Canis lupus familiaris: one gene and its partner. The protein of the gene in region 2 binds, or shares a complex with, the protein of the main gene of each other region. Links are inferred from orthologs where the notes say so. Each region holds a gene or a part of one and is shown on either strand. Other genes may lie near its edges.

Region 1 (4,781 bases), on a different chromosome or scaffold from region 2:
ACAGATAATGGTTTGGTTTTCCTTCCCAAACTCGTCCTTCTTCAGTCTTTCCTGGATCAATTCGCAGCAATTTCATCCAACCAGTTGTTCTGGCCAGAAATCTAGAAGTCGTGCTGGATGCTCTTTTTTCCTTACCCATATTCATTTATCAGCAAGACTTTATTTTAGCTCCAAAACATACTTCAAAGTCACCCCCTTCTGTGGCCCAGCTCCACTCTTGATGGATGAGGGCAGGAGCCTTCACTCTAACTACAGAGTGGTTCTCCTAAAGCAGCTGGGATTATCCAAACAAGAGCCAGCCCAGGTCATTGCCTGCTCAAAAGCCTCAGTGCTCCCCATCACACCAAAAACAAAACCCTTTATTTCCTTCTAAGGCTGCTAGAAGCCTGGTTTTACTGACCTCCTCATTTCCTCACCTATTACCATCTAGATACCTGGGCCTTCTTTATGTTATGCCCTGTGCAACTCTTCTCTTCTCAGGGCCTTTAATTGGCTGATGCTTCTGCCTAGAATCTCTTTTCTTTCTTTCTTTCTTTCTTTCTTTCTTTCTTTCTTTCTTTCTTTCTTTCTTTCTTTCTTTCTTTCTTTCTTTCTTTCTTCTTTCTTTCTTTTCTTTCTTTCTTTTTCTTTCTTTCTTTCTTTCTTTCTTTCTTTCTTTCTTTCTTTCTTTCTTTCTTTCTTTCACCTTCTTTCCTTTCTTCCTGAGACAGCACAAATGGGTGGGGGCAGAGGGAGAGAGAATTTTAAGTAGACTCCACATTCATCGTGGAGTCCAATTTGGGCTCTGTATCACCACCCTGAGATCATAACCTGAACTGAAATCAAGTCAGAAACCTAACTTACTGAGCCACACAGGCGCCCCTAGAATATCCTTCTTGATTTCCCATGATGGTTCATTCAGATCCCATGCAGAATGCCGCTTCCTCTGCGAGTCCCCTCTCCCAGACTAGCCCGGCCACCCTCATTCCCGCTACTTTTCTGTCTATTGACTTGTCTAGTCTTTCTCAAGTTAGACTGTATCCTGGAATCTAGCCTCGGATCCTGGAGCGGCCTCCAGGAACTGGCTCTGACTATTCTGGACAGAGTGCCGCCCTAACCCCCTGCGTTCTAGGTTGGCTTGTGTTGCGGGCAGAGGGAAACGAGTGGAGTTGCCCAGGTAATCGTGGCTAACCGCGGCTCCCCACTAGGGGGCGGCCCCGCCTAGCTCTGCCCAGACGCGCGGTGGGAGAGGGCGCGGGCTGCGCCTGGGCTGAAGCCTTTCTCCCGAGCCGCCGCCGCCGCGGCGCGGTCCGGTGCTCCCTGAATCCTCAGAGGGGGCAGATCCTCCCATCGCTTCCAGGGTTGTTGACGCCCGCTCCAGGAATGGATTCAGTGGGTCGGGCCCAGAGCAGCCACGGGACTGTGGGTCCCACGCTTGGGGGCGCTCTGCCCGCACGTGGGCGTGGCTGGCGGGGGTGGGGGGATCCGCGCCTTCACCGGGCCCCTGCGGGAGGGACCGCGGTTCTATACCGGAAAAACGGGAAAGCCGAGGCTACCGCGGGGAATCGACTTGTCTCGGGTCCTGCAGCGGAGCTGGAGTCGGCTCAACCGCGCAGGGTGTAGGGGAGCGCCAGCCCCGCCCCTTCCCCCTCCCAGAGCTGGAGAGGAGTGGGGAGGCGGCCTCAGGCTCACCCCCGCCCGGCCCGAGGGGCGGGGCCACTTCAGCCCCGCCCTGGCTCCATTGGGGGCGGCACCAGGGGCGGGGCGCGGCTGCCAGATGTTGGGGCGGCGGCGGCGGGAGCTGCGGAGAGCGAGCAGCCGCGGAACCAGGCGGAGGGCCGGGCGCCGCTGGCCGGCCCGCTGGGCCCTGTGGGCGCCGGTCCCGCTGGAGTTCGAAGAGGAACTGGCAGGCCTGGCGGGCGCTCCGGCACGGGCATGCACAGCGCTCGGCTTGACAGCTTCCTGGGCCAGCTCCGCTGGGAACTGGTGAGGCTTGGGAGCGGGTGTGGCTTGTGAGGACGTGTGCGGGGTGCCCAGCTGCCGTCCGGCCCGAACAACACACGGGTAGGGGCCGTCCCGAGTGCCCATCTAAGGCAGGATGGGGGCGGGGCGGCGCAGATGGCCCAGATGGCCCGCATCGGGTTTCGGACGGTTGGGAGCTGCGCTGGGCATCAAGTAACAGCCGCCCAGCTGGCCTTGCTGCCGGGGCGGCAGAGGGAGTTGGCGGGGAGAAACTTCTTTTGGGGTGGATCAGGGGGCTGAGAGGGACTAAAGAAGTGCTGGCACTGGTGTGGATGCCTTCAACCCCAGACCGACCTGTACCTCCTTCCCTACCCCCTACCTGGCAAGTGCTCTTTCTCTGAAAAAGGCTATGAGCTTTGGGGTGCTGAATCCCTCAGGAAGCAGGGATGCTCCCCCACCCCTAGCCCTGAACAGGACCTACTTCCCGATACAGATAGGCTCCCAACCCTGCCTCCCGCCTTGGTGGCGGGTACCGACTTGCCCAGCTCTGCGTGCTGCAGCCTGCCGGACTGCCACCAGGTCGGCTGATGGGAGCCACACGAGCTACGTGTGCCAGTGCCTCCATGCCGGCCCGGTGCCCACTGGAGGCCTGCTGTCCAGGCCTACAGGCCTATCCAGCCCTCCTGGGCCTTCAGTTTTGGGACTGGTCTGGCCAGGCAGGCAGGGGTGACAAGCAACTCCTCCAACTTGGGCCCTCTCTTTTTCCACAGCTGTGTGGCCGGGACACAGGCTCACCTCCCATGTCTGGGCCCCTTCCAACACCCCCCAAACCTGGCCCATGTGTTCCGCTCAGCCACCGGCTCAGGGCTTCAGATGCCTTGGAAGAGAATTCAGTCTGCTGTGTAGAAGAGGAGGAGGAAGGTGTAGTCATAGGAGACAAGGGTGTTGTCTTGAGGAGCCCCAGGGAACATGCCCTGGACTGGGACTCTGGCTTCTCTGAAGTGTCAGGCAGCACATGGAGAGAGGAAGAATTGCCTGTACTCCAGCACCCATCACCCCCAGCATGGCCCCCACATAGACAACGCCTCTCAGCCAGTGGCATTCCCCTGCCCAGCAGAGCCCCTGCGGCCAGTGCACCACCTGCCCACCGGCCACGTCCCAAGTCTACCCCAGATGCCTGCCTGGAGCATTGGCAGGGGCTGGAAGCTGAGGACTGGACAGCAGCCCTGCTGAACAGAGGTCGCAGTCGCCAGCCCCTGGTGCTGGGGGACAACTGCTTTGCTGACTTGGTGCACAACTGGATGGAGCTGCCAGAGGCAGCGGGTGAGGGGGACAATGGTGGTGGGCCCCGTGCCCGTGCTCGTCCCCCTCAGTTCTTGCTTGGGCTCTCTGAGCAGCTGCGGCGCCAGCTGGCCAGGGCACGCCGGGCGGCTATGGCGGGAAAGCGACTGTCGTGCCCACCTCGCCCGGAACCGGAACTGCCTGCAGATGTCTCACGCTTTGCAGCCCTCATGAGCTGCCGCAGCCGCCAACCTATCATCTGCAATGATGTCAGCTACCTCTGACCCTGCCCTCCAGCCTGGGACAATAAAGGCCTTTTCTGGACTATCCTGGTTCCATACCCCTGAGGCTCTAGGAGGCGACCCCAGCTCTTTGAGGCACACAGCCCAGAAAGGCGAATCTAAAGAGCCCTTTCTCTCCCTGCAGGGGTCCCCATCATGTCCATGTCACACACCCTGTGCATTACACCCTGTGCCCTGTGTTTCATCATCCATCCATTCCACTCACACCCTCCTTCATCAAGTATTTATTGAGTGCCTACTATGGGCTCAGGATGCAGGGCTTGATAGAGCCAGGGAATAGGGCTACTGCCTTGTCACAGCTCATAGTGCAGGGGAGGGAAGGTAGTATCCTCATCTTCACCCTCACAGCTGAGCTCCAGCACCAGTACCCGCTGCCCTGGCTTAGGTATCCAGCCTGTCACCTGCTGTACCAATTCCGTCACCCTGGTAGTATGGGGGAGGGGGAGGTGGGAGAGTGATTGGCTAGGTGAGCAGTGGTAGGCAGAGTAACTGGGCATGGACCAGAGGGTGCTGATGGGCTGTAAGGAGCCTAAGCCAGGGGCAGGAGGAGCTCAAGGCAGGAAACATCTGAAACTATTTTAGGAGCAGCAGGCAGGGCGGGCAAGGAGGCAGGAAGCTATGAGTCCCCTGGGAGTGGGCTGTGAAAGGGGGGCTTAGCAGAGTGTGGGGGAGCTTGTGGAGCTGGCCAAGCAGGCTGTTTGGAGGCCCCTTCTCAAGTTTTCCATCCTCACCCCACCCCCAGCCCATTTGCTGGCTCCATTTGGCAAAAGAAGGTCTCAGGACGGTGTGAGGGGCCCAAATGGGGATGGGAAGAACAAAGACTTCGGTCTCCCACCTCCAACCTCCAGGAACAGAACAAGTCATGGCTAAAGCCAGATGTGGGCTCACCTGAGGGCTAGGCGCTGCGCCTGCTTTTCAGGCAGCCATCCTGCTGAGTAGAGCAGGGACCTCCCATGCAGCAGCATCTTCACCCTCAGCCCAAATTGTTCCTAGTGAAAGACAGGTCAGCTGCCAGCCAGGCCAGGTTGGGCCAGGCCTGAAGGCAAGGAGGAACGGGGCTCACCTGGAGATGGGCCAGCAATAATTTCAGGGTCCTCTCTGGCTGCCCAGCAGGCACCTTCAGACGGTCCCAACAGGTCCATGTCAGGTGATGGAACTGGGGGGGAGGGGGCAGGAGGAGCTTCTCACACACACCCTCCCCCTACCCATTACCAGCAGCTGATGGCCCCTTTCCTAGAGGAGGAGCTGGACTAGAGG
Region 2 (4,718 bases):
AAGGCTAGCGGGGCACCTCTTTCACTGGGGGTGGTCAGGAAAAGATTCGCCTGACAACTCTTAAGACCTACAGGAGGGGAAGGAGGAGGGGGCCATGTGTGGATACTGGGGAAGAGTGTTCCACGAGATGGGAACAGCCAGTGCAAAGGCCCTGAGGTTTGAAAACCAGTGTGAGTGAAAGGGACGTGAAAGCAGAGAGGTGACAGGGGTAGGTCGTGTGGGGTGGGCTGCAGGAAGGACTCGGCCCCACTTAGATGGTTCACAGAGTCCCTTGGGCTGCAGGTGGGGGATGGGAGACCAAGGAGGAGATGAGGAGGGGCAGGGCCAGGGCAGGGTCAGAGGAGCAGAGAGAAATGGCCGGGTTCTGGTGAGCGGCCCCCTCCCGCAGGCCTGCTGATAGGAGCCCAAGTCTGCGCCCTCGTGGTGCTGAGAGCCTCGGCACCATGTTTGGGAAGAAGAAGAAACGAGTAGAGATCTCCGCGCCATCCAACTTCGAGCACCGCGTGCACACGGGCTTCGACCAGCACGAGCAGAAGTTCACGGGGCTGCCCCGCCAGTGGCAGAGCCTGATCGAGGAGTCGGCTCGGCGGCCCAAGCCCCTGGTGGACCCTGCCTGCATCACCTCCATCCAGCCCGGGGCCCCCAAGGTATGACCCACCGCTGCCTCTCCTGCCCCACACCGAGCCCACAGGGTGCCCCTGCGCCCTCAACCTCATGCTTGACCCTGGGGCCGACCCCTCCTCACTGCCTGCCAGACACACACACCCCAACCCTCTACCCTGATCTTCACCCCCAGTGCTAACCTCGATCCCTCCACCCGCTGACCCCTCCCCTTGCCTCACAACCCCCACCTTGACCCCTATGGCAGACCCCCCCACCAGCCTCCTTGTCTTGAGCCTCCTCTCCCTGGGCTCTGTGCCTGTCCCCAGTACCAGGAACTTGTCCTCGGGCAAGGGCCAGGCCCCCAGGGTCAGGGGGGTCTGGCTGGGTGGCCCAGGGGAGCTGCTGCCAGGGAGTCTGGGAGAGCTTTGGGGGGAGGGGATACCTGAGCTGAGCCCTGAGGGCTGAGGAGGCGTCTGTCCCTGGGCAGATGGAGAGGAGGCGGGGCTTAAAGGGGAGGAAGCTGTCCGAGGAAAGCCCTGGAGGTGTTTTAGTTTGGTGGGGGGGTTCCTGCCATCTTGAGCAAAAGGGTGGAGTGGGGATTTGAACCAGGGTCTGTTTCCACAGCCTACAGCCCTTGAGCCCGTTCCCATCTGCGTGTCCACGGCAGGGCGTGGAAGCCAGCCCGGAGCGCGGACTTCACCCCAAGGGCAGTGGGAACCAGGAAGGGCCGAGGGCACGCGGCCAGGGTTGTTCTGGGGTGGAGACGGGTGTGCTGGCGTGCGGGCCCAGCGCCTGGGGACCGGCCTGCGGCTGAGCCCCCCTCTCCGGGTGCCCGGCCCGGTGGCCCGAGGACGCCCTCCGTGATCAGCGCAGGTGGGCGTCGGTGCCAGGGCCGGGGCTGCGGGGGCGGGTAGCTCATGCCGGCCTTTTGAGTACTTTGAACTCTTTGCCGCGGCTTAAAACAGCAGAGACTTCACATCCAAATCTGTATTTCTGGCTTCTGCTGACTAATCGCAGGGGCTGAGGGGGTGGCGGCCACCGCGGACGGGGCACTGGCTCTTCTGGGCCCGCAGGCCCCCCCCAGCCCTACTCAGTTCCATCCCCCGGCTGGCCTCCTGGCTGCTCCGTGCTGGCTCTGGCCTCCCTAGGGGACCCTAAAATCTGACCCCTGCCCATACCACTGGCGGTGAGCCCTGCTTGGGCTGTGTCCGCCAGGAGGAGGAGGCACCTTGTCTTGATTCACACGAGGGTGCGCGTGGGCTAGCGCTGTATCGGGACCCCTCTGGGTATTTGTTCGCTGCCCTAGGCTGGGAATCTCCCCTTGGCTGGGTCCTCCCAGACCCGCCCCCGTTCCCCAGGGACTTCTCAGCCTCTTATTCCAGCACTAGGGTCTGACCAGGTGTCTACCTTGCGTTACCTGGTGCCCAGGCAAGACTGGGCCTCCACGCTTGTGGCCAGGCCCAGGAAGGTTGGCGGGGTTGGAGGTGCGTTTTGTGGCATCGGTGTTTTGTGCACAGTACAGGGGGCAGTTCTGGCTTGAGGATGTCTGGCAGCCTTGGGCCCACGTCCCCGCAGGCCAGTGAGGGACAGCAGAGGGATAGGGGTGCATATTCTGCTCCCCGCAGCCCCCTCCCAGCCCTCCTCCCTCCCTCACTGGTTCAGCCAGTGTTTCTTGAGCACTCTCTGCATACATACCACTGTTCTAGGTGCTAAGATGTAGCAAGAGCAGAAAAACAGGCAAATACAACAGCTGCCTTCATGAACATCACACACGGGTGGTGGGGGGGTGCAGGCGATGGTCAGTGTACGCGTGCTTCATGGCAGCTGGTTTCAGGTGCTCCAGAGAAAGAGAAGAAAGGGAGGGGGAATAGGGAGTGTTAGGGGCTGCCGTTTTAGAGTCCAGGTGGTCAACCAAAGCTTCCCCCTGAGAAACTGAGTTTGGGCAAAGGCCTGAAAGAGGAGGACGGGGAAGGAGCTATGGGCATACTTGGGGGAAGGTGTCCTAGGAAGAGTGAACAGCCAGTGCAAAGGTCCTGAGGTGGGCGAGTACCTGGTATGTTTGAGGAGCAGTGAGGAGCCCTGTGTGCCTGGAGTAGAGTCCAGGGGGGACGGGGGAACCCTGGAGCTTTGACTCAGTACTCAAGGGAAGAGGTGGCCATGACCTGGATCAGGGTGGTAGACTCAGCAGCTGGAGCTGGGGTCGATTAGGGACACACGGTACATCCACCGGGCCCCGTGGGAATTCGCATTCGCCACCACTGCTCCCAGGGCACTCCTGCACTGCGGTCCTTTCCAACTCTCCTGTACTCCACCCTTGGCTTCCAGGGAAACAGAGCATGGGTTTGGGGTTAACAGCCGGCAGGCTGCAGAGGAGGAAGTCCAAGCCATGCCCTGGCCCTAGCATCGTGTAATTTGCAGCTCTCCAGGGCTGATTATGGGGTGGTGTGGGCTCTGCGCTCCTTCCTCTCCTGCCCACGGGGCAGAGACCGGCCCCCAGCCTGGAGAATAGAAGAAAAGACGGGATGCTTCTGTGGGGGGAGGGCTGGCCAGCCCAGGGGCGACAGCCTGACCCGTGGGAGGTTAATCCTTTGGCTTCCTCCCTGCGAGAAGGACATCCCGGTGGTGTGGGAGGGGCTGCAGGGGCCTCCCTGGTGCTGCCCCCACCTGCCCAGCCCCATCATCACCCCATGGCATTTCTTCATTCCGTCTCTGTCTTGTCTCTGTGTGTGTTGTGTTGTCCTGTCCTTGTGTGTCGGATACACGTCCTGTGTCCTCCTCTTCCTTGCCCGGCCCCCATCCCGCCATTGCCCCGGACCCCAGACCATCGTGCGTGGCAGCAAAGGCGCCAAGGATGGGGCCCTCACGCTGCTGCTCGACGAGTTTGAGAACATGTCGGTGACGCGCTCCAACTCCCTGCGGAGAGACAGCCCACCGCCACCTGCCCGTGCCCGCCAGGAGAACGGGATGCCCGCAGAGCCGGCCAGCACGGCCAGAGGGGCCCCAGAGAAGGCGGGCAGCCAAGGCCGGGCCGCCGGTCGCAGCGAGGCGGGTGGCAGCAGTGGCGACAGGCGGCGGGTGGGGCCAGAGAAGAGGCCCAAGTCTTCCAGGGAGGGCTCAGGGGGACCCCAAGAGTCCTCCCGGGACAAACGCCCCCTCTCTGGGCCTGACGTCGGCACCCCTCAACCTGCCGGTCTGGCCGGTGGGGCCAGAGTGGCAGCTGGTCGGCCCTTTAACACGTACCCGAGGGCCGATACGGACCACCCGGCCCGGGGTGCCCAGGTAACCAACCCCCCTGCCCCAGGACCTTCCACTGCCCCTTTTTCCAAGACTCCCCCTGTTCCCTTCCCAACTCCAGCCTGTGCCCAGCCCACCGTCCATCTCCATCCTGACCACCATGTGTCTGTCCCACGCAGGGAGCAGAGCTGGCCCTCCCACCCCTCCACTGACAGCCACCTCTCTCTTCTGTTGCAGGGGGAGCCTCACAACCTGGCCCCCAACGGGCCTTCGGCAGGGGGCCTGGCGGTCCCCCAGTCTTCCTCCTCCCGGCCTCCCACCCGAGCCCGCGGTCCCCCCAGCCCGGGAGTGCTGGGGCCCCATGCCTCTGAGCCCCAGCTGGCCCCTCAGGCCCGCCCCATTGCTGCCCCTGCCGGCCCCCCGGCCCCCGGGCCCCCTGGGCCCCGCTCGCCACAGCGGGAACCCCAGCGAGTGTCGCACGAGCAGTTCCGGGCCGCCTTGCAGCTGGTGGTGGACCCCGGCGACCCTCGCTCCTACCTGGACAACTTCATCAAGATCGGCGAGGGCTCCACGGGCATCGTGTGCATTGCCACCGTGCGCAGCTCGGGCCGGCTGGTGGCCGTCAAGAAGATGGACCTGCGCAAGCAGCAGAGGCGTGAGCTGCTCTTCAACGAGGTGGGCCCCGGGCCCCCTCCCACCCCCGTCTCACCCTCCTCGTGTCCTCCCCCAGCTGGTTTTGAGGCCAGTGCTGGTCCAGGCCCTCTCTGGTCCAGGCCCTATCAGGGGGAGGGTGTGAGAAGACCGTTCAGCACTGGGGGTTCCCAGGGCTTGGGTTTGAGCTGCCTCCTCTCCTTACTGCTCACACCTGCCCGGGCCATCAC

Evidence for each region. Proteins that work in one complex are often made in the same cells at the same time.
Region 1: the proteins of PAK4 (region 2) and INKA1 are in contact, whole or in part, in a crystal structure (PDB 4XBU), measured with the Homo sapiens proteins. The link is inferred for Canis lupus familiaris from reciprocal best matches to the Homo sapiens genes PAK4 and INKA1. Residues at the interface, in NP_001014831.1 of Homo sapiens: Ser331, Gln358, Arg359, Glu361, Leu362, Thr404, Asp440, Lys442, Ser443, Asp444, Phe461, Leu475, Val476, Gly477, Thr478, Pro479, Tyr480, Trp481, Met482, Arg489, Glu507, Glu512, Phe516, Asn517, Glu518, Pro519, Pro520, Met524; in NP_976248.2 of Homo sapiens: Gly178, Arg179, Ser180, Arg181, Gln182, Pro183, Leu184, Val185, Leu186, Gly187, Asp188, Asn189, Cys190.

Annotation. Positions count from the first base shown.
Region 1 is NC_049241.1:39,875,581-39,880,361, reverse strand, and holds INKA1 (PAK4-inhibitor INKA1), read left to right. Parts: upstream 1-1,914; coding exon 1,915-1,965; exon of another isoform or gene 1,966-2,043; intron 2,044-2,162; exon of another isoform or gene 2,163-2,323; intron 2,324-2,711; coding exon 2,712-3,506; 3' UTR 3,507-3,549; downstream 3,550-4,781. Other genes in the region: CDHR4 (cadherin-related family member 4), read right to left, coding at 1,413-1,503, 1,734-1,916; UBA7 (ubiquitin-like modifier-activating enzyme 7), read right to left, coding at 3,818-3,947, 4,413-4,513, 4,588-4,680. UniProt on the Homo sapiens protein: Inhibitor of the serine/threonine-protein kinase PAK4. Acts by binding PAK4 in a substrate-like manner, inhibiting the protein kinase activity.
Region 2 is NC_049222.1:114,799,536-114,804,253, reverse strand, and holds part of PAK4 (serine/threonine-protein kinase PAK 4), read left to right. Parts: intron 1-388; 5' UTR 389-443; coding exon 444-647; intron 648-3,423; coding exon 3,424-3,882; intron 3,883-4,074; coding exon 4,075-4,512; intron 4,513-4,718. UniProt on the Homo sapiens protein: Serine/threonine-protein kinase that plays a role in a variety of different signaling pathways including cytoskeleton regulation, cell adhesion turnover, cell migration, growth, proliferation or cell survival.